Oryctolagus cuniculus: one gene and its partners. The main gene of each other region encodes a partner of the protein of the gene in region 4 in a complex. Links are inferred from orthologs where the notes say so. Each region holds a gene or a part of one and is shown on either strand. Other genes may lie near its edges.

Region 1 (5,082 bases), on a different chromosome or scaffold from region 4:
GGCCACACACGTGACAGGCTGGGCGCTGCCCTGGGGAGGCCACACATGTGACAGGCTGGGCGCTGCCCTGGGGAGGCCACACACGTGACAGGCTGGGCGCTGCCCCGGGGAGGCCACACATGTGACAGGCTGGGCGCTACCCTGGGGAGGCCACACACGTGACAGGCTGGGCGCTGCCCTGGGGAGGCCACACACGTGACAGGCTGGGCGCTGCCCTGGGGAGGCCACGCACACGACAGGCTGGGCGCTGCCCCAGGGAGGCCACACATGTGACAGGCTGGGTGCTGCCCTGGGGAGGCCACACATGTGACAGGCTGGGCGCTGCCCTGGGGAGGCCACACACGTGACAGGCTGGGCGCTGCCCTGGGGAGGCCACACATGTGACAGGCTGGGCGCTACCCTGGGGAGGCCACACACGTGACAGGCTGGGCGCTGCCCTGGGGAGGCCACACACGTGACAGGCTGGGTGCTGCCCCGGGGAGGCCACACACGTGACAGGCTGGGCGCTGCCCTGGGGAGGCCACGCACACGACAGGCTGGGCGCTGCCCCGGGGAAGCCACACACGTGACAGGCTGGGCGCTGCCCTGGGGAGGCCACACATGTGACAGGCTGGGCGCTACCCTGGGGAGGCCACACACGTGACAGGCTGGGCGCTGCCCTGGGGAGGCCACACACGTGACAGGCTGGGCGCTGCCCCGGGGAGGCCACACACGTGACAGGCTGGGCGCTGCCCCAGGGAGGCCACGCACACGACAGGATGGGCACCGAGGCTGGGAGTCACCTCTGAATCCTGCTGCCCCCTGGGTGAACACCCCCCCATTCTGGGAGCTGCGCAGGCCACAGCCTGCCTGGGTCAGGGGGTGAGGCGGGCCTTACGAAGCGGGGGTCCTTGTTGAGGCAGGCCTCCACGAACTCCTTGAAGGGCTTGCTGTGGGCACCCTCCAGCGTGGGTGGGTTGTTCTTGGGGATCAGGAACAGGACTCGCATGGGGTGCAGGTCGGAGTTCGGGGGCTCCCCCTTGGCAAGTTCGATGGCTGTGATTCCCAAGGACCAGATGTCGGCCTGCACAGGGTGCCAAAAGGACCACTGCTGCGTGCGGCACCCCGAGGAGGCCACGGCACCCACAGCCCTGGCCGCTGTCACCCACCTTGAAGTCATAGGCAGACTGTTTGATGACCTCGGGCGCCATCCAGAAGGGCGTGCCCACAAACGTGTTCCTCTTGATCTGCGTGTCCGTGAGCTGCCCGGCCACCCCAAAGTCCGCCAGTTTCACGTCGCCCTGCTCAGACAGCAGCACGTTGGCGGCTGCTCGACACAGGACAGGGGCGCGTCAGCCTCAGCTCCCAGTGCCCCCAGGCAGTCCTGCGTGTGGCTGCCTGACCCAGGGACCCCCTCCCAGGTACCTAAGCTCTCCTTGGCACACTCAAACCCATGCCAACATGGGCTCCAGGGCATGACCAGCAAGAGCCCAGCAAGCCGACCCTGAACTGCCCAGCCTAAGCTCTAGGGCCCTCTCTGTACTGGCTTACCCAATGTGCCACCAGAGCAGCACCCCACAGGCTCCTGCAGAGCTGACCCTGATCCTGAACCTGACCCAAGCTGGCCAGGAAGCCCCTTGCTTGGCTGGCTGCATCCTCACAGCCTGGACAAGTCCTTCCCATGGCAGGTGCAGCCTCACGCATACAGTGAGGAGGGGGCCACACGGTGGGGTCCCACAAACCCTCTGAGCTGCACCACTGACAGCACTTCCTGGAAATGGAGCCCCCAGATGGCCACAGCCCGGCCCCCACCCCCCACGGCAGCAGGACCACAGGGCCCCCACACCCAGGCCCGTGGCAGCACGCCCACAGCACGACCCCCACCCCCCACCCCCCACGGCAGCAGGACCACAGGGCCCCCACACCCAGGCCCGTGGCAGCACGCCCACAGCACGACCCCCACCCCCCACCCCCCACGGCAGCAGGACCACAGGGCCCCCACACCCAGGCCCGTGGCAGCACGCCCACAGCCCGGCCCCCACCCCCCACCCCCCACGGCAGCAGGACCACAGGGCCCCCACACCCAGGCCCGTGGCAGCATGCCCACAGCCCGGCCCCCACAGGACCTTTGATGTCCCGGTGGATCTTGCGCTCCGAGTGCAGGTAGTCCAAGCCCTTCAGGATCTCCCGCAGGATCGTGGCGATGGAGGTCTCTTCCAGGGGGCCGGGCTTCAGCTGCACGGGAAGACGGGACAGCAGGGCCTCGGCTCCCCCACCCCCACAAGGCCGGGGCCTCGATTCCAGCCCCTCCAAGAGGGGTGCCCTGTGCACATCTGAGGCTCCAGGTCCCTCCAGGGCAGGCGAGCCTGCTTGTACCTTCACTGAAAGCCTGGCAGGGGACGGGGCCCAGCTGGACCACCCACTTGGGCGCACTGCCACCCTCCTCGACAGGGACCAGGATCCCTCCGAACACCAAATCCATTAAAACACCGAGAGGAGGCCCACGGGAGCTGTGACACCCCCCACAGCAAGCCGCCCACTATTGGGGCCCACACCTTACCAGGTCCAGTGCGGAGCCACCACCAAGGTACTCCATGATAATCCAGAGCTTGGTGCTCTGGAACACAGAGAAAGCCATTAGCTCTTGGGACCAGCACTGTGGAGTGGAGGTTAAGCCACTGCCTGCAATGCCAGCACCCCGCATGAGCAACCAGTTCAAGTGCAGCCAGCTGCTCCACTTCCAACCCAGCTCCCTGCTAACACAGCCGGACAAGCAGCAGAAGATGGCCCCCACATCTTTGTGGGAGACCCAGAGAAAGCTCCGAGCTCCCGGCTTTGGCATGGCCCAGCCCAGGCCAGCCCCAGGCACTGTAGCCACTTGGGGAGTGAACCAGCAGATAGAAGATTTCTGCCTTAAAAAATAAAGAAAAGAAACCCATTAGCTCTTGGCTGTGGCCGGGAAGCAGGCCCAGGTGTGGAGTCCACAGACCCCTCCCAGTCGCAAGTGGGGAGGAGCCAGCCAGGGCTGTCCCCCCGAGGAACCCCAACAGGAAAAGCCCCCAGCAGCCTCCTGGCTCCCCTGGCAGCGCACCCCGTGGAGCACTTGGCAGACACGGCCAGTGCTCCAGGCAGGCGCCAAGCCCCCCAGCCACCTTCAGGTAGGAGCCGAAGTAGCGGGTGATGTAGGGGCTGTCGCACTGGCTGAGCACGGTGATCTCCTGCTGGATGTCCTCGATCTCGTCCTCCGCCTCCTCCAGGTCGATGATCTTGATGGCCACCACCTCCTTGGTGTGGTTGTCGATGCCCTTGTACACCTCCCCGAACGAGCCCTTGCCGATGCGGTCCAGCTTGGTGAACAGCTCCTCGGGGTCCACGCGGGGGTGCTGCAGGGCCCAAGGGACAGGGTGGGCAACGCCGGTCAGGGGCTGGACAGGCAGAGGCTCCCCGGGGGACACACCTCAGGGACCTGCAGCAGGCACGGGGCAGTCCTTTTCTGGTTTTATCTTTTACCTTTTTTGTTCAGAAAACTACAATTCCCTCTCCTTGTAAGGCAGCAGCTCCTCAGGGAAAGACACAGAGCACCTGGGACCATGTCCACAGCTGTGCAAGATACCAGCAGGTCAGCACCCCCAGGAGGCAGGCAGGGATGCAGGGACTCTATCACCCCAAAACCATTCCTACAAAATGCCACCTAAGGCCTGGCTCTGTGGTGCAGCGGGTTAAGCCATCGCCTGTGACGCCAGCATCCCCTATGAACACGGGTTCCCGTCCTGACTACTCCAATTCCGATCTAGCTCCCTGCCAACGTGCCTGGAAAAGCAGCGGAAGATGACCCAAGTGCTTGGGCCTCTGCCACCCCGAAAGAGATCTGGATGGAGCTCCACCTCCTGGCTTCAGCCTAGCCCAGCCCCAGGCATGGCAGCCATCTGGGGAGTGAACCAGAGGACGGAAGACCCCCGTTTCTCCCCCTCTCTCTGTAACCCTGCCTTTCAAATAAACTCATAGATCTAAAAACATATTCATACAATCTATTAAGAACAACAGAACCCAACCTGTGGTGATGAGACCCTACATCACAGCCACAGCCCCTGGAGGACTTCCCCACCCCGGAACCAGGGTCACACCAGCAGAGTCCAGCACTGGCCTTTCTCAGAAGCCTGAGTCCAGGTACTCCAACTCCACAGACGCTGACCACATGGTCCTCGGGTTTAAGCAGGCAAGACGTCAGGGTCACCAGGCTCTGGTGGGGGAGGCGCCAGGTCTGCAGCCCAGGTCGCAGAGGCTGGCAGAGGGGTCCTCGGCATAAACCACCCTCTTAAGTTTGAGCCTGGGCCACCCCAGGAGCATCATCACAGCACCTCCCACGGCCAGGGTCACTCTGGGTGTCCCCCAGCCACTGCCCAGAGACCCTGGGCTCCTGAGAACACCATGCTCCAGCCACCAAGCGCTGACCAACCTCAGAAACACGGCCGGCCGAGGGTGAAGGGCAGCCCCCATACCCCAGGATCCTAGTGGCTTGCTGCCCCACAGGGGAACCTGTAGAGGTGGGAGTGGGGTTAAGGCCCTGAGTGTCATCAAGACAGAATTTTCCTTTTTTTTTTTTAAGATTTATTTTTATTTATTTGAAAGGCAGAGTTAGAGAGAGACAGAGATCTGCAGCTTCACTCCCCAAATGCCCACAACGGCCAGTGCTGGGCCAGGCCAAACCCGGAAGCCAGGAGCATCTTCCGGTCTCCAAGCCCTTGCGCCATCCTCCACTGCTTTCCCAGGCCATAGCAGGGAGCTGGATACGAAGTGGAGCAGCCAGGACTCCAACTGGCACCCACGTGGGATGCCAGCACTGCGGGCGGCGGCCCCAAGGCAAGCCCAGCCGAGTCTCCGCACCAGGAGGGGCACCACCCCCATGACAGTGTCTCAGTGCCCACTTCTCACCAAGTCCAGAAAACATGGCCAGCTCCCAGGTGAGGGCAGCCAGGGCTGGGCGGGCTCAGCGCCTCCTCCCCGGAGCAGAGCACCAGTCATGGGTGCTGGGCCCGCAGGGTGCTGCTCTAGGCTCACGCCACGTTTCAGCTGAGCCTGAGCACCCTCTCCAGGGTTTGTAAC
Region 2 (5,082 bases), on a different chromosome or scaffold from region 4:
ACCACTCAGCACCCTGCAGAGGGGCACAGTACCCAGGACTGCACAGAGGACACAGTACTCAGCACCCCACAGAGGGCACAGTACTCAACACCATGCCAAGGGACACAGCACTCAGCACCACACTGAGGGGCTCACCACTCAGCACCCTGCAGAGGGGCACAGTACTCAGTACCCCACAGAGGACACAGTACTCAGCACCCCGCAGAGGGCACAGTATCCAGGACTGCACAGAGCACAGTACTCAGTACCCCACAGAAGGCACAGTACTCAGCACCCTGCAGAGGGTACAGTACTCAGCACCCCAGAGGGGCACAGTAGTCAGCACCACGCAGAAGGCATAGTACTCAGCACCCCACAGAGGACAGAGGACACAGCACTCAGCAGCCCATGAGTAAGTCCGGACAAAGGGACATGAAACGGGCAATGTCTTTACTCAGGCCCAATCCCCTTGCTAACAAAGCATCACAATAGTCTCACAAAGAGACTCCCGTTCTCCAGCCCAAGCCCCTGCTCTAGCAAAACCAAAAGCTCCTTCAGGGGAGAGCACAGGTACCCCCTGGGCACCACCTCCCTAACTCACCCTAGAAATACTAACAAGCACCAAGGTTCCTGAGACGCCTGGGCAGTGAGCGCCTGGCAATGCTGTTTTCAGACAAAGAACATAGACTCCCGTCAGAAGCCCTGTGCACATGAACCATTCAGGACAGCCGAGCAGCCCAGGTGACAAGGGGTGAGAAACACTGTTCAAGAGGCAGTGATAGGCCAGCGCTACGGCTCACTAGGCTAATCCTCCACCTGCGGCGTTGGCACACCGGGTTCTAGTCACGGTCGAGGCGCCGGATTCTGTCCCGGTTGCTCCTCTTCCAGGCCAGCTCTCTCCTGTGGCCAGGGAGTGCAGTGGAGGATGGCCCAAGTGCTTGGACCCTGCACCCCATGGGAGACCAGGAGAAGCACCTGGCTCCTGCCATCAGATCAGCGCAGTGCGCCGGCCACAGCGGCCATTGGAGGGTGAACCAACGGCAAAAGGAAGACCTTTCTCTCTCTCTCTCTCTCTCTCTCTCTCACTGGCAACTCAGCCTGTCAAAAAAATAAATAAAATAAAAGAGGCTGTAATGGTAAATAAGGTTCCAGACGCCTACAAACAATGCCGGTCTGCAAGCCCCGTCCCTTCAGGGGTGGGGGGAGAAGGAGCGAGACAGACAGACAGACACCGGCAAGGCAGGGATGGTGCATGCACCCAGGACGCACACTCTTCACGTTCCCAGTGCAGCCCGGCCACCCCGGGTGAGGTTCTCCACCTGGCGCGGGCTCAGGAGGAGGAAGCACCCACAGAGAAGCGGCTCTGTGTGCCAGGAGCCAGAGCGGCCCTGCACTGCAGTGCAGCAAGCCGGCCCAGCCCACGAAAGCCCCCTCCGGCCGGCCTTGGCTGAAACGCTGCTGCGAAGCGACTTCCAGGGAGGGTTGCCGAGTACGACAGAAACAGCAGAAGATTTGGCTCTTGACATGGCTGACAGAGACCGGGACAGGGTTTCTCAGGTCACCTGCTCCCCACCCAAGTGTGCGCTCCCCTTGAGAACATGCACAGGGGGACAGCAGCATTCCGACGTCGCCAAGGGCTCTGGGAAGCAGGCTGGCTGGGTTTTCAGGTACTCAGAGAGGCCCTGCATGGAGCAGACACACAGGCAGTGGCTGACAGACTGAAACCTGTGGTGTGCCAAGCTACCCCGGCTGATCTGAGACCAAGAGTAAGAGGGCGATAATCCTGGTGGGTGCACTAGGACCCTGGGGTCTAGTCTAAGCCCTGCTGCAATCAGATGAGTGGGCTTCAGCTTAAAACAAAGAGAATGCATCACGGACCTAAGTTCTCGCCAGGTCCCAGAATCACATGACCCCAGGAAACAGGCCGATGGCAGAGGTGCTGTGGAGATGAGGTTAACCACGGAGGTAACCCAACAGCTGGGGCCAGACACCCACAAACACAACGCCCACAACATGTGCGCTCTGCCAGGGGACAAAAGCCCACCAGCCACGACCACAATCCCAACAAAGAGACAGCCAGAGCCACCCTTCCCCTCCCCCACAGGAATCAGGACCTCAACCACAACGTCAACACCCTGTGAGAGCCGACGGCAAGTGCAAGGCCACAGGAGCGTCACCCAGGCACTGTGCACCGTGCTAGCAAGCTGGCCCAGCTAGTAAACACTGAGAGCATTTCTGTTTCAAAGGGAGAAGCGGAGTGAGTGTTCGGCGTGGCAGTCACCATGCCGCCTGGGCCACCTGCCTCCAGCATCTGAGGGCCCGGGCCTGAGTCCTGGCTCTGCTCCCTAGTCCAGCCTCCTGCTAATGCGCACCCTGGGAGGCAGCAGTGATGGCTCAAGTCCTTGGGGCCCTGCCACCCACATGAGAGATCTGCATGGAGTTCTGGGCTCCTGGCTGCAGTGTGGCCCAGCCCTGGCTGCTGCAGGCATTTGGGGAATAAATCCATGGGGGCGAATGGGGGGGGGGGAGGGTTGTTTGTGTGTGTAAATATACACAGAGCCCCAGATAAGATGCTAAACTAAAAACAATAAGAGAAACAGTGTCTGGCCTGTAAACCTATCTGAGTTAAACATTGCTAGAAACTCCTGCCTCAGAAAAGTCAATTCCGTGGCTCACGCAGGATTTTCACTGTGCACAGGCCGCTCACAGGAGCAGATGGTGGGAAATGACGTTACATCAGAGACCCAGGCAGCAAGGAGCACCCAGGGTTTTCAGTCCACCCTAAAAGGCTTCCCAAAGGGAGAAGGAATGCAGGAGAAACGGGGAGAGTGAGAGCGCGGACAAGTGGGAGCCTCGGGGAACCAGGATGCCGCAAGGACGGCCAGTCCTCAGTGCTGGGAGCTGCAGCCAGCACAAAGGCTCAGCTCTGCAGCTCCGGGACAGGGCCTGCAGCCGCCCTGTCCCCCCGCCGGCTCCTGTATGCAGGGGCCTCAAACATCAGTCTTGTCCAAGGCCTGGCCCACGCCCACGCCTCTCGGCCTTCAAGCCCACCTGTGCCCTCTGCAGACCACGCCTCCGGGGCCCTGCGCGGGGCATCTCCTAGGCAGGCCGCGCCCATCCTCGCACCGCAGTCCCCCTGCCTCCACCGGCACACGCTCCGTCAGGTGTCCCCACACCCTCAGACCCACAGTGCGTGTGCCGGGGGCTCGTGCACGCAGGAGGCAGAAGGCACGGGGCACAGCCAGGGTCGGAGAACCTCTTTTACGACCTATTTCAAGGCGCCAGCCTCAGTCTGACCACAGCAGCTGTGGGCACAGGAGGGGGAAGCCCAGCCCAGGCACCTGCCTGGAGCCCGCCCTTACCTTCGAGTCGTAGGCTGACTGCTTAATGACCTCAGGCGCCATCCAGAAGGGGGTGCCCACAAAGGTGTTCCTTTTGATCTGGGTGTCTGTCAGCTGGCCCGCCACTCCGAAATCAGCCAGCTTCACCGCCCCGTGTTCGGACAGCAGGACATTGGCCGCTGCGAAGGAACCCAGGAGGTGTGATGGCTGTAACGGCACCGAGGAGACACGCACATCCTCTCCCCAGCTGGACCATGTGTCGCGACAGCCGTCACGGACCACACTGCCCACCTGAGCTCAGGAGGGAGCCCCGCCCCGCAGTACTCCACTGTCCATCAGAGCCCAGGAGGGAGCCCCGCCCCGCAGTGCTCCGCTGCCCGTCGGAGCCCAGGAGGGAGCCCCGCCCCGCAGTGCTCACCTTTAATGTCTCTGTGGATCTTCTTCTCCGAGTGCAGGTAATCGAGTCCTTTGAGGATCTCTCTCAGGATGGTGGCGATCTGAGTCTCGTCCAAAGGGCCAGGCTCTAACTGACGAGAGAGGCAGACACACTGTCACTGAGACGGTGAGGGAACAGACAGTGCGGGCAGCAGAGGCAACACCGAACACCTGCACTTAAACAGGCACTGCTGTCAACAGGACAAGCTGCTACAGGGACCCCAAGAGCCGGCTGCGGAACAGCACTGCGGCCGACAGGCGAGGCGGGGCGAGCCTGCCAGAACGCGGGTGCTCCACGTGGCACCTGCGGACCCGACAGCCAGCCAGCCAGCCAGCCCGCCAGCCCAGAGCACTCGCCTTCACTGACCCAGGACACGGCCTCATGGAGTTCATCAGCAAGTCGTAAGGAGGGCAGTGTGCTTTAGACCAAAAGGCATGAAAATGTAGACGGCTCTACCTCGGGCAGCGCTGGGACTGACACATGCCCATTTCCTGGACAGACATGACGAGCCTTCCCTGTGTCTCAGGAATCCTCGAGTGACTCCCAGAAGGATTTTGTGGGGCCCAGTGTTGGGGGGGAGCCGGGACCCGCCCCCAACTGCCTACACTACAGTCTGCCTCACGCCAGGCACTCCTTCCTGGCTCACCTCTGTCAGGCCCACCCTGGTCTACACCACAATCCCCAGACTTTGATGCCTCTCCTGATACCATGGATCACTGGCATGGACACACCCAGGAGGAGCCTGGGGCTCCCGGCTTTCTCCCCTCAGGACCCAGCTGAAAGAGCTGGTGCTGGCTTTTCCTCGTCTGACTTCCTATTAGCTGCTCAGAGAGAGACAAACTGTCTGGGGCCGCCACCCGCCGGGAAGCACCCCAAACCCTAGGTGAGATCTCTCCTTGGACTGAGACCGCATATGCACACTCTGCTCCCCTGAACTGACATCTCCCAGAGTCGTCTGTCCACGAGTTTTTTTCAAGAAACACATTTCTGCCTTTTCCACGTGTACTTCTCAGTGTTCACAAAAGGCAGGAATTTTCATTTTCACAATGAAGATTTCTCACCACCTACGGGACGCAAGCAAGAAGAGATGCCAGAACACGTGCCCTTGTTCACGGCACCCTGCTCAAAATCACGTCACAGAGCCCGGGCCCACTTCCTCCCCAGCGCGTCTGCTCGCGCATAGCAGCAGCAGCTGGCCCTGAGTCCCTGCCTACCCCCGGTCTCTACAAAGGAAACAGCAGAGCTGCCTGCTGCCAGTACCACGGGAGACAGGAAGAGTCGAGGGGGCCACCATCATGGCTCAGCACGTAAAGCTGGTTTGTGTCC
Region 3 (5,082 bases), on a different chromosome or scaffold from region 4:
TTGCTGACATCTCCTGGGGCCCCTCCACCACAGGAAGTCGTACTCCACCCTCTCTTCTCAGCCCCATCCCCAACCCCCACCCCTCCCCCATCCAGCACTAACCCGTCCTCCCACAGCTGTGCTGCTGCCTCCTCGGCCACCAGCAGTCTGTACTCGGCGGCTGCGAAACGGTCCCAGTCTGACAGCTCAGGGCCATCACCGTCCTGCAGGAGGCATGCAGTCAGCAGTGGTAATCAGCAGTCATTGGTCAGTAGAGGTCAGCAGTCAATGGTTAGCAGCAGTCAAGTAGGGGCCATCAGCAATTGGTTGGCAGCGGTCATTGGTGAGTAGTAGTAGTCAGCATTGGTTAGTGGACAGCAGTGGTCAGCGGTCAGCAGAGGTCATCAGTCATCAGATTTACAAAAGCAGTGAGGAAGATCCTTCTGCCATCATGCCTGGCCAAAGTGATGGGCAGATAGGAAGTGTTGTTGATGTCATAATATAGATAATGTCATGATGACATCAAGATGCCAATATGCTACTAGTGATGCCTCTAGTTCCAATAACATCAAACTATTACATGATGTCATGATGACATCAACATTTAGGCAGCTTAGCACATCAGCTCTGAGCTGCAAGCACATAGTTCTCCTGGGCATCATCTTAATTCACATGGAAAATACAAAAAAATGACAGAATCTAGCCATGACCATTACTTTCCTGATATTCCAGGAAATATTAAATAAAAACGATTAGGGGTGGGACCAAGCATTACCCCCTCAGCTGAAGTCCTCATGGCCACCTCCGAGGTCAGCTTTGTAAGAGAGACCAGGAGGAAGAAGACCGAGAAAAATTCATGCCAGTTAATGGGTGATTGACAAGGTCATCGGCCATCATGGTGACCCCAAAAGGCCAGCCCATCCCCCAGTGGCTCCTGTTTCCATGCCCTGGTTGAGGGCTAGGGGGTCAAAGGGTTCCTGGGTCATAGAAGACCCTGTTGGCCCCAGGCTTAAAAAACAATTCACTGGCTCCGCCCAGCTTCCCAGGGAGCCATGGGTATGAGGGGACTGCCGAGGGTTGGAGACATGGCAAGCAAAGCCAGAAATTTAGACTTAAGGAGCCGCCTGCTCAGACCCCCTCTGCTGCCAGGCAGCGGGGTGATAGAGGCCAACGGAGCTTCTTTCCTCAGGAAGTTCCCACCTCCCTGTGTCAGTGGTGTCTGTGGTCAGTAGCAGTCAGTTGTCAGCAGGGGTCAGCAGGCAGCCTCACCCCGGGCAGGGCCAACTGCTCGTGCTGTTCACGGTCCAGGTACTTGTCCACGTTGAAGAAGGTGTCAAAGAAAATGGGCGCCAGCAGCCGGCACCGCTTCAGATCGCCCAGCGTGATGCGGCCTATGGGGGTGGATGCAAGGGCATGGATGTGGGGTTGGACACCAGGGCCAGGGCCAGGGCCAGACGTGGGGGATGTACATGTGGACCCAGAGAGGCCTCAGAGAAATCAGAGTAAACGATGCAGGCAGGTGCTGGGCAGCAGGGGCACAGGAGGCCTGGATGCTGGGATGGACGTGGTGGAGGGGGATAACCCAGACGCCTTGGCCATGGCCAGAGGGGACTGCAGGACCACTCGCCAGCAACGCCCTCCAGACCCTGTGGGCAAACAGCTGGGACCTGGTAAGTGGATCTCAGCCACTGAGGACCCTGGAGATGGGGAGGGGGCAGGGCCAGCAAGGGAAGGGACCTCCATGGTGGGGGCTGGGAAGGGAAGGGGCGGGTCTCTACCCTGGGTCCTTGGCCGAACCAGGTCCAGCATCTGGCAGAGGCAGTCTGGGAAGGGCAGTGGTTCGACGTCCAGGCTGCGTAGTCGGCGGCTCTGCTCCTCATAGAAGAACTCAAGCTCAAAGGCAGACAGTGCCCCGTCCCCATCTAGGTCCATACAGCGGAACCAGTACTCGATGCTGCCCAGTTGGGTAGGTGGCAGTCAGTAGGGGAATAAACTATGTTGACCCCAGAGTGACCACTGACCACACTAGGGACACAGTCCCCACCCAGGTCCATTCAGAACTAGTACTCAATGCTGCCTTGTCAAGGGAGATGGCAGTCAGCCGCTGACCACACTAACCGTGGAGTGATCCCTGACCATGCTGCTGACCACACTGACAGCAATGTGACCACTGATCACCCAAAAGATTCTGCTCACTGATCCCCTGAGCTGACCAAGTGGGCACTGCTGACCATACTAACCCCAAAGTTACCACTGGCCACACCATGGACACTGCTGACTTCACAGAACCCAAGCTGACCACTTTCCTGACCCAGACCACACCCTGGGCCGAGGAGTGAGCCCATGGTGTCCAGCGTCATCCACTATCCGCCTGCAAGGGGGGCCCTCAGACCCACCTGGTGGGCGTGGTCTTGTCCTCCTCGGAGAGCAGGAACCACACAAAGTCCTCGTAGCTCATCTTCCCTGCTCTCTGTGCCGTCCTGTCCCTGTGGTCAGCAGTAGCCAGCAGACACACAGGCAGGTTCAGCATGGGCCACTCCCAGCTGGGGGTATCCCTGTCCAGCCCCACATGGGGAACCCAAGGAGTCCTGTGCTGGCCCTGAGTCCCCCTCCAGTGCTGTCCACACTGCCCCAATCTGGTGTGATGAATACCTGTGATGCCATCATCTGTGATGTCATCACCCATGTCATCCCTCAACACGATGGCATCACCTCTACTCCCCCGCCGGGGACCCCACCTACCGCATGACAGCACCTGAAAATATCCTGTCAATCATCTTGTCGGAGATGGCTGTGGAAGAAGAGGCAGGGCCTGTGAGCCATGCAGAGGGCAGGGCAGGAGGCTGGGGTCGGCATGGGGGGGGTCCCTGGGAAGGGGTCTTGGGGTCCCTGGGGTCCCCGACCGTGGTCGCGGTGCCGGGCCAGGTCACAGTTGCCCAGCAGGAGGTCGCAGTCAGTGTCAAGCTCACGGAAGGTACAGTAGATGACATAGACGTGCTCATAGCAGAAGAGCCCGCTTGTCAGGCTCAGGTCCGCCTCCTCCTCCAGCCGCGCCACAACCTGCGGGGAGCGGGGCTTCAGGATGGGAACGAGGTGGGGCTCAGGACCTCAGGTTGTGGAGGGTGGGTTTTCCTGCTGGGTGGGGAACTAGGGTCTCCTGTCCTAAGGGTGGAATCTTCTTTGGGGGTAGGGTCTCCTGTCCTGGGAGCAGGGACTCCTTTCCCAGGAGGCGGGGTCTCCCATCATGGTAGGTGGTTCCCACTTCCCCCACCTGCAGGAAGTGGCTCCTCCTGAGTTCATTGTAGCTGATGCGCCCGGACCAGGACCTGTTGACAGCGTAGAAGATCCGCTGGATGACCTGCGGGGCAGATGGGGTGGGGCTGGGGCTAGCAGGGGGCGGGACCAGCAGTGGCGTGTTGGCAGTGGCTGGCAGACATCCTCACCTGTGCTCACCTGAGTGTCCTCTCATCTGTCCTCACCTGAGGGCATCCTCTCACCTGAGTCCAGGGCAGCAGTGAGCAGATGGCCCGAGAGACCTGCCCCCATAAGGGGCGGAGCCACAGGGGAGGGAGGAGCTGTCACAGGGGAGGGAGGGAGGAGCTGCCACTCACAGAGGGCGGGAGGAGCCGCCACTCACAAGGAGCTGCCACTCACAGGGTGACTCTGACCAGCACAGTCGAACTTATACCCAGGTGTATTCCTCTTACTGCCCAGGACGGGGACCCAGGCAGGGTCAGGGGTCACTGCAAGGTCAGGGGTTACAGGCAGGGTTTGGGTATCACACTGGGTTTGGGGTCAGGGGTACTCACAGTGGTGATGTAGCAGGAGTGGAACTCAGGTGCCTCCTTGAGGAAGGCGAGGCCAGGGTGTGATTCTACCACATCCTGGGACACAGGAAGTGAGTGACAGGTGTGAGGTGTGTGACACGTGTGAGGTGAAGACATCCCTGTGACAGGTGTGAGGTGCGAACTCCCCTCTGACAGGTGTGACTTGATTGACAAGTATGCGGTATAACCTGTGACTGACAGCTGTGACTGAAAGGTATGAGGTTTGTGATTGATAGGTGTGACGTGTGTACCTCCCACTGGGGGAGGGGCAGGGTGCTCACCTGCAAGAAGGGGACGAAATCCTCCTGTTCCAAGAAGTCGCACCCAGGACTAGCGAGCAGGTGCAGGAACCTGGCCTCCTCATCGTGGCAGTCCTGGAGGATTCTGGAAGCATCAGCATCGTTCGGAGCCCCGTCCCCAGGAGGTGGGAGTGGGGCCTGGGTCCCCTCTGCCAATCACATGTGGGAGGCAGAGCCAGGGTCTCCTCTGGCTACTGCAGCTGGGGAGGCAGGGCCTGCCCAGGACTCCCCCTGGAGGAAGCCCTGCCCTGCCCCACCCCCCTTACACTCTCCTGCCCAGCAGGTGTAGGATCCCCAAGGCCCGCCCCCTGTCCTGCTTACCCTGCATGCCTGGGACTCACCTGCGCCACATGGCCACGAAGGTATGCACAGACACGGATCCCCCGCGGCGGCCCCCAGCCCGGTAGAATAAGGGTCCCTTCCAGTACAAAGGGCAGCCACAGGCCTGGAACACCACCAGGCAGTTACTGAGATTGCCAATGAGGGTGACAGACAGCAACGACTGGAAGGGCCTGGTCACAGGGAATGATCAGACTGTGCCACTCACAGCGACAGACAACAGCGAAAGGAAGGAACCAGATACCAGGGAGAAGAAGGATCCAGACACAGGGAGGGCAGAGGCTGTGTCACTCATGCTGTCAGACAGCAGAGATGTGAAGGAAGGGCCCGGCAACAGAGAGGGCACAGGCAATGCCACTCTGGTCAGCAGTGACAAAAGCGACCCAGCCACAGGGAGGGCACAGGCTGTCCCATCCCCAGGCCAGCACCCACCTTGGTCACATCCAGGTCTCGCAGGCCCCGCCCTTGGCCTCCAGCCCAATCTCCAGCACCACAAGCCCAGCCCCCGCCCCATCCCTGGCACCAACCTTGGCCACATTGCCCATGTCCTCCAGGCGGGCGCGCTGCAGTGGGAGCAGGGCAAACGCAGTCTCCACGGCACGTATGGCCCCATCCTTGCTGACAGGACCCACTGGGCG
Region 4 (5,082 bases):
AGAAGCTTTCTGAAAAGTTTATCAAACACAGCCATACCTCATGGGGAACTTCTTGTAAGCGGTCAAGTGCTCTGATGTGATCCAGTGTATCTATAGATGGTGAGAGGCCCCCGTGCAGACAGAAGATCTGAAAAAGAGTGGTTTCAAATGTTAATGTCACCTAAAACATTCTTCTGGATTAAGCTGCGGGCTGCAGCCCTGACTACTTGGCCCCACAGGTGTTTCTGTGCTCCATCTGAATAAGTTTCAACCTGCAGAGTCCATCTTTGCCCCAGGCCATTCTCAACTACTGAGTACACTCCCTTTCTTCCTGATAAACCATCTCAATTAACTCCTTCAAAAACAGCTTTTACAGGCAGGCAGGCTGAATAGCAGATTAACACAGCAACCGGGAAGCCTGCATGAGGGGGGGAGGGGGGGAGGGGGAGAGAGAAAGAGAGAGAAAGAGAGAGAGACAGAGACTGATTGCGATCCAGCTTTCTGTTAACACACACCCTGGAAAGGAAACGGATGATGGCTCAAGTACTTGGATCCCTTCTACTCATGTGGGAGACCTGAATGGTATTTCCAGTTCATGGTTTTGGCCTGACACAGCCCCAGGTATTGTGGGCATTTAGATAGTGATACAGCAGATGGAAGATTTCTCTCTACTTAACACCTGGGGAAGATGGTCCAAGTAACTCTTCTGAGCTGGCTTCTGCTTCTAGCTTCGACCTGGCCCAGTCACTGCCACTGTGGCCATCTGAGGAACGACCCAGCCAATACAAGATATTTTCCTCTAACTCTGCCTTTCAAATAAATAAATCTTTACAAAAAAAAAAAAAAAAAAAAAAAAAAAAAAAAAAAAAGGTTTGAGACATATACCTGCCCATCCACCAAGGCAGTGAGAGGAAGATAGTCAAAAAGATCTGTAAAATATTTCCAAACATTTGCGTTTCCATATTTTCTTAAACATTCATCATAGAAACCATAAACCTGTGTGATCTGTCTGCTCTCATGATTTCCTCGAAGAATGGTGATGCGTTCACGGTAACGAACCTACAACAACAGAATGGAAACCATGAAACAGCTTTCAAACACCAAAGGAACATTCAGGAAACTTTCTGAAACCCAGTTTTAATCATTCCATTCCCCCAATAAGAGTCCCTCCTGTCTGTCTACACTCACTCCCTACTCCCATGCTCCTACCATCCAATGATTTATCTGAGACTGCCTTTTCTACAAACTCCATAAGAAACAGAATAATGCAAAAAAAAACAAAAAAAAAAACAAAAAAACACACACAAAAAAAAACAAAAACAAAAACACATAGCTTCTGCACTAAACACCACTCAGAATATGTTCAAGGCTTATCCGTGCTGCAGTATAGATCAGTGGTTTGTTCCTCTGTGCAGCTGCAGTCTTTCACAGTACCGTTATACGGCATATTCTGTATTCATGGGTAGGAGGCACTGTTGAGTAGCTTCTTTCCTTTCTTTAGGCTATTTTGAATTTTTGCCACGATCACCTGTGTACAGTTTTTGAAGACATACGCTTTCATTTCTCTTAGACAGATTTCCAGAATATAATTTGCTTATAGTAAGTTATGCTTCACCTGTTGACAATCATTCAAAGTGACTAGACCCTTTCACATTCTCACAAGCAATGAACCAGGATGCTAATCTCTCCACATACTCACAAATACTCGGTACCTGAGCCATGCAAAATGGTATCTCATTGTGACTTGAATTTGCATTTTCCTGTTGACTAATGACGTTGTGTTTTTGTTTTCATGTACTTACCAGTCATGTATCTGCTGGGGTGAAATCTATTCAAGTATTTGTCTTTTATAAAATATCTGTTGTATTAAGGATTTTTGGAAAAAAAAATCTCAAATACATATTTTTGTTCTTAGTAATATTTTCTGAACAAAAAACCTTACTTTTTTATGAGGTCTGGTTTTTCTTTTTTTTTAAATTGATTTCCTTTTGTTAATATCTAAGAAATCTCTCAAGACCAGGAAGATTTTCTATGTTTTAACCTAGAAATCTTACAGCCATAATTCTCATATTCAGGTCTGTAATTCACTTTTATCCATCTGTCTCAGCACTACCGGCTGAAAGGACAATCCTTCCCCCACTCCTGTCTGCTCTAGCTGCTGTAACACCGCGCCATAACAGAGGAGCAGCTTAAGCAACAGAAACCTGGCGTCAGCACAGTTGGGTTTCTCTGCAGACCTCTGTGTCTGCTTTACAGAAGGGCATCGGCTCTATTTGTCTTCTCATTTTCTTCCCTGTGTCCTATCTCTTACAAGAACACCACTCATATGGGAGTAAGGTCCAGTCACATGACCCCATTTTACCTCAATCACCTCTGTAAAGGTCTCAGCTCCAACAGTCACATTCTGAGGTATTATAGGTTGGGAATTCAAAGTATGAATTCCGAGAGGACACAATTCAGCCTGTTACACCCACTTGCATCAATTCTTAAAAGGTGGCACATTCACTCTTCTCCTGGGATTCAGCCTGGGTCTACAGCACAGCTAGCTGCACACTGCTCTCACACAATCTTCCACCGCCCAGTCTCATGTCTTCATTTATAGAGGCAGAACACAATGGCCTCCAGAAATGTACCTAACATTTCCATGAGTTCAATACTAATTACCCATAATCAGCCCTTGCTGAAAGCACAACGCACTGCTTCTTTAATGTTAGAAAAGTCTATGGCAGACATTTTATCATTCTTTCTACTCTTTAATGAGACTGAATCCCAGAAAAAGAAAAAATTCCCCCTGAAGGGCAAGTCAGTTTCTTTTGGGAAAAGCTGAAACCGGCCACCTTCAGAGCTTATTTTCAGCTTTGCTTCATCTGCCTCCTGTCAACTGTGGACTTTGCAAAGCTGCATCTGATACTCAAATGATTTTGCAACTTCCCTTCTTCAATTACCATTTCCACTATCTACATTATGTCATGTTTAACAGCCACAAACTATTCTACCTCAATAAACCCTAATTTGTGGATATTTAGATGAGTACTTTCTTTTTCTGGTATTAAATACTACAATTTATTTACACAAAAATCTTTTCCTCTTCTATTTCTTCCTCAGCACCATTCTAATTACAGGATTTCTGTCAGAGGATATAAACATTCTAACATTTGATCCATTTGTACCTTTACAATATTTTGAAACTAACTAGGAAGGTAACAACTACCTTTCCATACCTGAATCTACTGAATACATTTCTATTTGGCTAGCCCTCTAAGACTGTTCAAACAATCTAAGGCATTATCTTCTCCCCACTTTTTCATTCTGTCCCAACCCTATGCTTGGAATGCAGAATCCTATAAACGTAAAACCTGAATAATTTGCATTTCTCAAGAGAATTTTGTTCTAAAATGTAACATTTAGTTAAGAGGAAAAAAATAATTACTAGGAAACAACAATCAAGAGAACTGTCTTGAGCCGGCGCCGTGGCTCAATAGGCTAATCCTCCACCTTGCGGCGCCGGCACACCGGGTTCTAGTCCCGGTTGGGGCACCGGATTCTGTCCCGGTTGCCCCTCTTCCAGGCCAGCTCTCTGCTATGGCCAGGGAGTGCAGTGGAGGATGGCCCAGGTGCTTGGGCCCTGCACCCCATGGGAGACCAGGAAAAGCACCTGGCTCCTGGCTCCTGCCAGGATCAGCGCGGTGCGCCGGCTGCAGCGGCGGCCATTGGAGGGTGAACCAGCGGCAAAGGAAGACCTTTCTCTCTCTGTCTCTCTCTCTCACTGTCCACTCTGCCTGTCAAAAAAAAAAAAAAAAAAAAAGAGAGAACTGTCTTACCCAGTTCAAAATAATCAAACATAAGCTGAAATTACCTTAAGAGCTACAAGCAGTGTAACTGTTTCAACGGAGTAATATCCTCTGTCAACATAATCTCCCATAAACAAGTAATTTGTGTCTGGTGATTTGCCACCAATTCTAAACAGTTCCATGAGATCGTGAAATTGCCCATGCACATCTCCACAGACAGTAACTGGACATCGAACCTCTTGCACGTTGGATTCTTTTGTCAGGATTTCTTTAGCCTACAGACAAAACCATAAAACAATATTTAGTATGAAATGACATTAACAAAGATACACTGAATTATATTTAATGCAGCTTAAGAGGCAAACTTGGTTTAAGATGAAATTGTCAGAATTTATGATCCTATTAAAAATAAGACATCAGATGGCTAGACTATTCCTTTGCTATCTCATCTCCGAAACCTAGAAAAAAATGTTATCAGGATGCACAGCCCATTCCCATCAATAATAGGAATGTTCAAGCCTGTCAAATGGCCATCTGATTACATACCAGAGAGTCCACCAGGGGCTGCTGTAGCAGCGCAGCAGGTTAGGCTGCCGCCTGCAACACCAGCATTCTAAGATGCAGTGCCAGTTCAGGTCCCATCTGCTCTGCTTGCAATCCAGCTCCCTGCTACTGTGCCTGGGAGGCAGCAGAGGATGGCCTTGGCATAAGTGCTTGCGACCCTGCCACATACATGGGAGACCCAAGCTGAGTTTCAGGCTCCTAACACCAGCCATGTGGGGAACGAATCAATGGATGGAAGATCCCATATCACCTCTACCCTATGTTGCTCTGCCTTTCAAATGTATGAGTAAATATACCTTAAAAAAAAAAGTTCACTTGATTTTAATAATTTTTTAATTTTTATAACACAATAAATTTTCTCTGTTCATATTTTGAAGCTTCTCTATACTACTTATACACTATCAAAACACACAGATTCTTTTTTTTTTTAAATTATTTGACAGGTAGAGTTACAGTGAGTGAGAGGAAGAGACAGCGAGAAAGGTCTTCCTTCCATTGGTTCACTCCCCTAATGGCCACTACGGCTGGAGCTGCGCCAATCCAAAGCCAAGAGCCAGGTGCTTCCTCCTGGTCTCCCATGTGGGTGCAGGGGCCCAAGCACTTGGGCCATCTTCTGCTGCTTTCTCAGGCCACGGTAGAGAGCTGGACTGGAAGAGGAGCAGCCGGGACTAGATCTGGCGCCCATATGGGATGCCAGCGCCGCAGGCAGAGGATTAACCTACCGCAGCTCTGGCCCTAAAACACAGAT
Region 5 (3,902 bases), on a different chromosome or scaffold from region 4:
GCTCAGCTCCTGCGCCCGCTCCCGCCACGCCCCCGTCCAGCTCCCAGCGACGCTGGGCAAAGAGCACGGAGCTGAGGGGACAGGTTGGGGGGGGGGGTTTCCATCCATCAGCACCCCCTGCCCCGCACACGGGAGCGCCACAGCCCTGGGGCCTGAGGGAGGACGACACGGCCACCCTACTTGGAGAGCTGTGTTCTCGGGGGCTTTAGCTGGGGGGCACCTGGTAGATGGGTCTGTAAGAGGGGGCCCCTGGGGGTCGGTGTGGCTGTCACTCGTGATTTCCAGAGGAAGCGCTGGGCACCTGGGACCACCGGGCGTTCAGGGGCCAGCATCTGCGGAGGCCCCCGGCCCCTTTCCGAACAATTCCAACTGACTTCTGTGACCAAGTAGCCCGGAGCGCTCAGCCTACACACAGGAAGCTGCAGGTTGTCCAAGCCGCCCCCCTGGGCAGGGCCGGGCCCAGGGTTGAGTGGCACAGGCATCCTGAGGGAGAGGCCACCCCTGGGCCTGGCTCGCGGCCAGCGGGGCAGCTGGGGCACAGAGGAGCCCCCCGCCCTCGGCACAGGGCTCTAGGGGGCAGCTGAAGCCGGCACGGTGCCGGTTCTGTCACCACATCCGGGGCTGGGGCTGAGGAAGGAAGGAAGTCTGAGGCTGGAGCGAAAACCCAAACCAGCACCTGGGGGAGCGGCCTGGAGCCTGGCACGCGGCAGCCAGGCCACGTGGCGCCCCCGCCCTGGCGTGCAGCTGACCCCCACGGGGAACCCACCGCCCGTGCCCTGCACCCCCAGCAGGCAGCGGGAGTGAGGCAGGCAGAGGAGGGCTCAGGGCAGGGGCTGGCTGGGGACCCCGAGCCGCCCACCCCCAGGGCTCATCTCCAACCTGCCTCAGAACACAGCGAAGTGCCAGGAGGAAGAGGTGACGCGAGGTCTGCCCAGCCGGCCCCCGACTCACCGGTCCCACGGCCTCACCGCCGCCCACCCCACGTGCCCAGGTGGGGCAGGGCACACCTGCTGGTCAGGGCTCTGCCCCTGGGGACAGCAAGGAGGGGCAGCAGGAGATGCGGTCCTGTGCCCCCACTTCCGCCCTAGGGCCCTCCTGTCCCCCTCGCCACTCTGCCACAAAACCCCAACCACAGTATCCTTCCCCCCCAACTCCGCCCAGCCAGACCCCAAAAGACCGCTCGGTCACCCACCTTACTCCAAAGGGTTTATTGAGACAAGTTTTCACATCCAAGTTCAGGGGCAGGGGGAGGGCCTTATAAACAGGAACCGAAGTGGGGACGGAGGGCACAGGGCAGACCCGAAAGAAGAGTGAAATAAATAGAGAAGAGTGGCGGGGGGGGGGGGGGGGGGAGCTGACTATCACACAGTGATAACATGGGGCGGACGCCATTACAATCCCGGTTATTTGTACAGATATACAGGGTGGGCGGGGGCCCCTCCCCCAGGCAGCTCAGGCCCTGGAGGCCTGGGTTAGTGTCTGGAAAGCAGGGGAGGGGGGCTCGGGGATTCTCCCAGTGTGGCTCCCAGCCAGGGTGGGGGGGTGGCGGGCAGGGCGGGGCCCCAGAGGAGAGAGAGCCTGGCACCTTCTGGCATCTTGGAAAAACATCCCCAAGGACCACCCACCCCACACCCGGCTACGCTGCCTTCAGGAAGGCAGTGGGTGTGGGACAGGGAGGAAGACCCCAGCGGCCGTCCTTGAGGGGCCAGCCCAGGCTGGGGTGTGGGGCAGGAGAGCCGAGGGGAGGGGCTCCCGGGGAAAGGGCCGTTAGCACCACCGGGCTCCACGCAGGCCTCTGAGCCTCGGCACGAGGCGGAGTCACCTGCAGGAGACGGGGGAGGCGGGGACGACACTGCAGCGCAGCCTCCAGTGCCCGTGCCCACGGTGGGGTCACCTCAGCAGTTCCAGCACCGGGCACTCGGGCCAAGCAGGCAGTGCCAGCGAGATGTCCGGGCCACGTGCGGGCAGGGGTGGGGTTTCTGCCTCCCCGTCCAGAGCGCAGAGGGCCCCAGCCCCTCACCTGGGCCCCCCCGGCCCGGCCCCTCTCCAGCCAGCGCAGCAGCCAGGGCGGGGCCAGTGGGCATCATACGAAGACCTTGGCCAGGGCGTCGGCGCCGGCGCTGGCAATGAGGGCCTTGCTGGGGTGGCAGGCCACGGCATGGATGGCCTCCTCGTGCTTCTTGCGGTGGGCCGTGATCTCCTGCACGCACGTCTTGTTGTCCAGGCTCCACAGGCGCAGGGAGCAGTCATGGCCTGCGCGGGCAAGGAGCTCTGAGCCCACACCTGGCCTGTCTGCGGGCCTCGGACGTGGCAGGGCCTCGACCCACCGCCCCCAGCCCCCTGCTCCATCACCTCCCAACGCCCACCCAGACGAGAGCCATCCTTCTGCACACACGGGCAGGCTTGGCCCCCTCCGCGGGGTCACCACAGCTCTGAGGACACGCCCTCCCCGCGGGGATGGGGCCCTGTGCTGTCTTCCATGCCCCACGCTGGGTGCCGCTGACCGTCCGCACAGCCGCCCTCCGAGGCCGGGCTCTCCGTGACGACCCCAGCAGCGAGAGACCGCCTGCTTCAGCCACTCGGCTAGCCCCTGCCTGACAAAGCCCCTTCCCCAAGCCCCGCTCCCCTGGATCAAGTCCTCGCCCCCTTCCAAGCCGCTGCCGGATGTGGAGAGCGGGGTGGCCCCGGCGCTCAGGCCTGCGTGGGGTTCCGCCAGCCAGGCCTGGACCGCCGTCCCCGTGTCTGTGACAGGGCATAAGCACCAGCGGCCACGACAGGCCAAGTGCCTCTGGCGGGTCCAGGCGCGGGGCTGCCCGCGTGTTCCTCTGCTCTTCCCCAACCCTGGACTGGAGGTCCCAACTTACTCCCTGACATGAGGAAGACGCCATTGGGGTCCACGGCAAGGCAGGTGACAGCATCCAGGTGGGCGACCATGGAGTGCACGGATTTACCTGGGGGGAGACGGCGGGGGGGGAGGCAGGCCCTGGAGAAGATGCGCCCACGTGGGCCCCAGAACGCCCTCTCCCTGCACTGGGGGCTGGGGCCCTCACCTGTGCGATTGTCCAGGAAGCGGATGCCCCTGTCGTCATGGGCGGTGATGGAGAGGGGCTGGCTGGGGTGGCTCACCACCTGGTTGATCTGGGTTGGGCCTGTGAAGAAAAGGGGTGAAGAGGGGAGGTGTGGAAGGGAGAACTGGGGAGACCAGAGGAGCGAGAAGAACCCGGGGGCTGCCCACTCTCTCGCGCCTCGGTCCATCTGGCAGGCGGGCACCCCAGAGCCCCAGGCGGGCCCCTCCACGGGCCTCACTTCCTTCCTGCCCTGAACCCGAGGGCACGGGGCAGCCATCTGCAGTGCCAGGCAGCTGGGCCCAGACCCACGCCGCCGCCCTTACCGCTGCTCCCCCGGGACTCCAGCGTGAGGAGGGCGCTGCCCGTCTCCAGGTCGTACAGCACGGTGTCCCCTGAGCGGAAGGCGGCCACGATGTGCGCGGGCTCGGTGCTGGTGAAGGCCACAGAGGTGGGGACGTCGTGCCCTGGGGGCAGAGGGTAAAGGCTGCCGACAGGCCGCGCCCGGGAGCAGCGCCCGCCCGGCCAGGGGCCCCCGCTCACCGCTGGCTGCAGGGAAGGTGCACAGGCAGGCCGGGCTGCCGCTGGGGTCCCAGACGCGGACGGTGCCGTCGGCGGAGCAGGAGGCCAGGCGCTGCGAGGCGGGGCTGAAGGCCAGGCCCCACACGGCGTCCCCGTGGCCCTCCAGGACGTGGCTCAGGACGCTGGGGTCTGCAGGGCCACAGGCGAGGGAGCGCTCAGGCGGCCGGCCTCCCCCTGCAGGAGGGCTGCAGGGAGCTCTGGCTGCAGAACCTGGGCCGCCCTCAGAGCTGTCCCCGACCGGGCCCTGTGCTGCGG

The links.
Region 1: PPP2CA (region 4) and STK25 share a complex: the UniProt entries of both Homo sapiens proteins name them as parts of the core of STRIPAK complex. The link is inferred for Oryctolagus cuniculus from reciprocal best matches to the Homo sapiens genes PPP2CA and STK25.
Region 2: PPP2CA (region 4) and STK24 share a complex: the UniProt entries of both Homo sapiens proteins name them as parts of the core of STRIPAK complex. The link is inferred for Oryctolagus cuniculus from reciprocal best matches to the Homo sapiens genes PPP2CA and STK24.
Region 3: the proteins of PPP2CA (region 4) and serine/threonine-protein phosphatase 2A regulatory subunit B'' subunit beta are in contact, whole or in part, in a crystal structure (PDB 4I5L), measured with the Homo sapiens proteins. The link is inferred for Oryctolagus cuniculus from reciprocal best matches to the Homo sapiens genes PPP2CA and PPP2R3B. Residues at the interface, in NP_002706.1 of Homo sapiens: Cys20, His63, Tyr91, Tyr92, Arg135, Lys136, Tyr267, Arg268, Arg294, Arg295, Gly296; in NP_037371.2 of Homo sapiens: Met410, Leu432, Asp436, Cys439, Gln440, Met441, Leu442, Asp443, Leu444, Lys446, Glu450, Gly451, Lys462, Leu463.
Region 5: PPP2CA (region 4) and STRN4 share a complex: the UniProt entries of both Homo sapiens proteins name them as parts of the core of STRIPAK complex. The link is inferred for Oryctolagus cuniculus from reciprocal best matches to the Homo sapiens genes PPP2CA and STRN4.

What each region holds. Positions count from the first base shown.
Region 1 is NC_091434.1:282,490-287,571, reverse strand, and holds part of STK25 (serine/threonine-protein kinase 25), read right to left. Parts: intron 3,363-5,082; coding exon 3,132-3,362; intron 2,597-3,131; coding exon 2,540-2,596; intron 2,215-2,539; coding exon 2,106-2,214; intron 1,307-2,105; coding exon 1,149-1,306; intron 1,064-1,148; coding exon 878-1,063; intron 1-877. UniProt on the Homo sapiens protein: Oxidant stress-activated serine/threonine kinase that may play a role in the response to environmental stress.
Region 2 is NC_091440.1:14,073,558-14,078,639, reverse strand, and holds part of STK24 (serine/threonine-protein kinase 24), read right to left. Parts: intron 3,848-5,082; coding exon 3,739-3,847; intron 3,500-3,738; coding exon 3,342-3,499; intron 1-3,341. UniProt on the Homo sapiens protein: Serine/threonine-protein kinase that acts on both serine and threonine residues and promotes apoptosis in response to stress stimuli and caspase activation.
Region 3 is NC_091447.1:3,608,847-3,613,928, reverse strand, and holds part of serine/threonine-protein phosphatase 2A regulatory subunit B'' subunit beta, read right to left. Parts: coding exon 4,972-5,082; intron 4,551-4,971; coding exon 4,447-4,550; exon of another isoform or gene 4,191-4,446; coding exon 4,088-4,190; exon of another isoform or gene 3,864-4,087; coding exon 3,789-3,863; exon of another isoform or gene 3,555-3,788; coding exon 3,433-3,554; exon of another isoform or gene 3,338-3,432; coding exon of another isoform or gene 3,306-3,337; coding exon 3,251-3,305; exon of another isoform or gene 3,040-3,250; coding exon 2,883-3,039; exon of another isoform or gene 2,771-2,882; coding exon 2,722-2,770; exon of another isoform or gene 2,466-2,721; coding exon 2,376-2,465; exon of another isoform or gene 1,934-2,375; coding exon 1,758-1,933; exon of another isoform or gene 1,371-1,757; coding exon 1,249-1,370; exon of another isoform or gene 204-1,248; coding exon 103-203; exon of another isoform or gene 1-102. UniProt on the Homo sapiens protein: The B regulatory subunit might modulate substrate selectivity and catalytic activity, and might also direct the localization of the catalytic enzyme to a particular subcellular compartment.
Region 4 is NC_091437.1:22,497,116-22,502,197, forward strand, and holds part of PPP2CA (serine/threonine-protein phosphatase 2A catalytic subunit alpha isoform), read right to left. Parts: intron 4,046-5,082; coding exon 3,836-4,045; intron 1,039-3,835; coding exon 865-1,038; intron 128-864; coding exon 38-127; intron 1-37. UniProt on the Homo sapiens protein: Catalytic subunit of protein phosphatase 2A (PP2A), a serine/threonine phosphatase involved in the regulation of a wide variety of enzymes, signal transduction pathways, and cellular events.
Region 5 is NC_091449.1:10,663,088-10,666,989, reverse strand, and holds the end of STRN4 (striatin-4), read right to left. Parts: intron 3,777-3,902; coding exon 3,609-3,776; intron 3,533-3,608; coding exon 3,392-3,532; intron 3,150-3,391; coding exon 3,051-3,149; intron 2,952-3,050; coding exon 2,865-2,951; intron 2,254-2,864; coding exon 2,084-2,253; 3' UTR 1,190-2,083; downstream 1-1,189. UniProt on the Homo sapiens protein: Calmodulin-binding scaffolding protein which is the center of the striatin-interacting phosphatase and kinase (STRIPAK) complexes.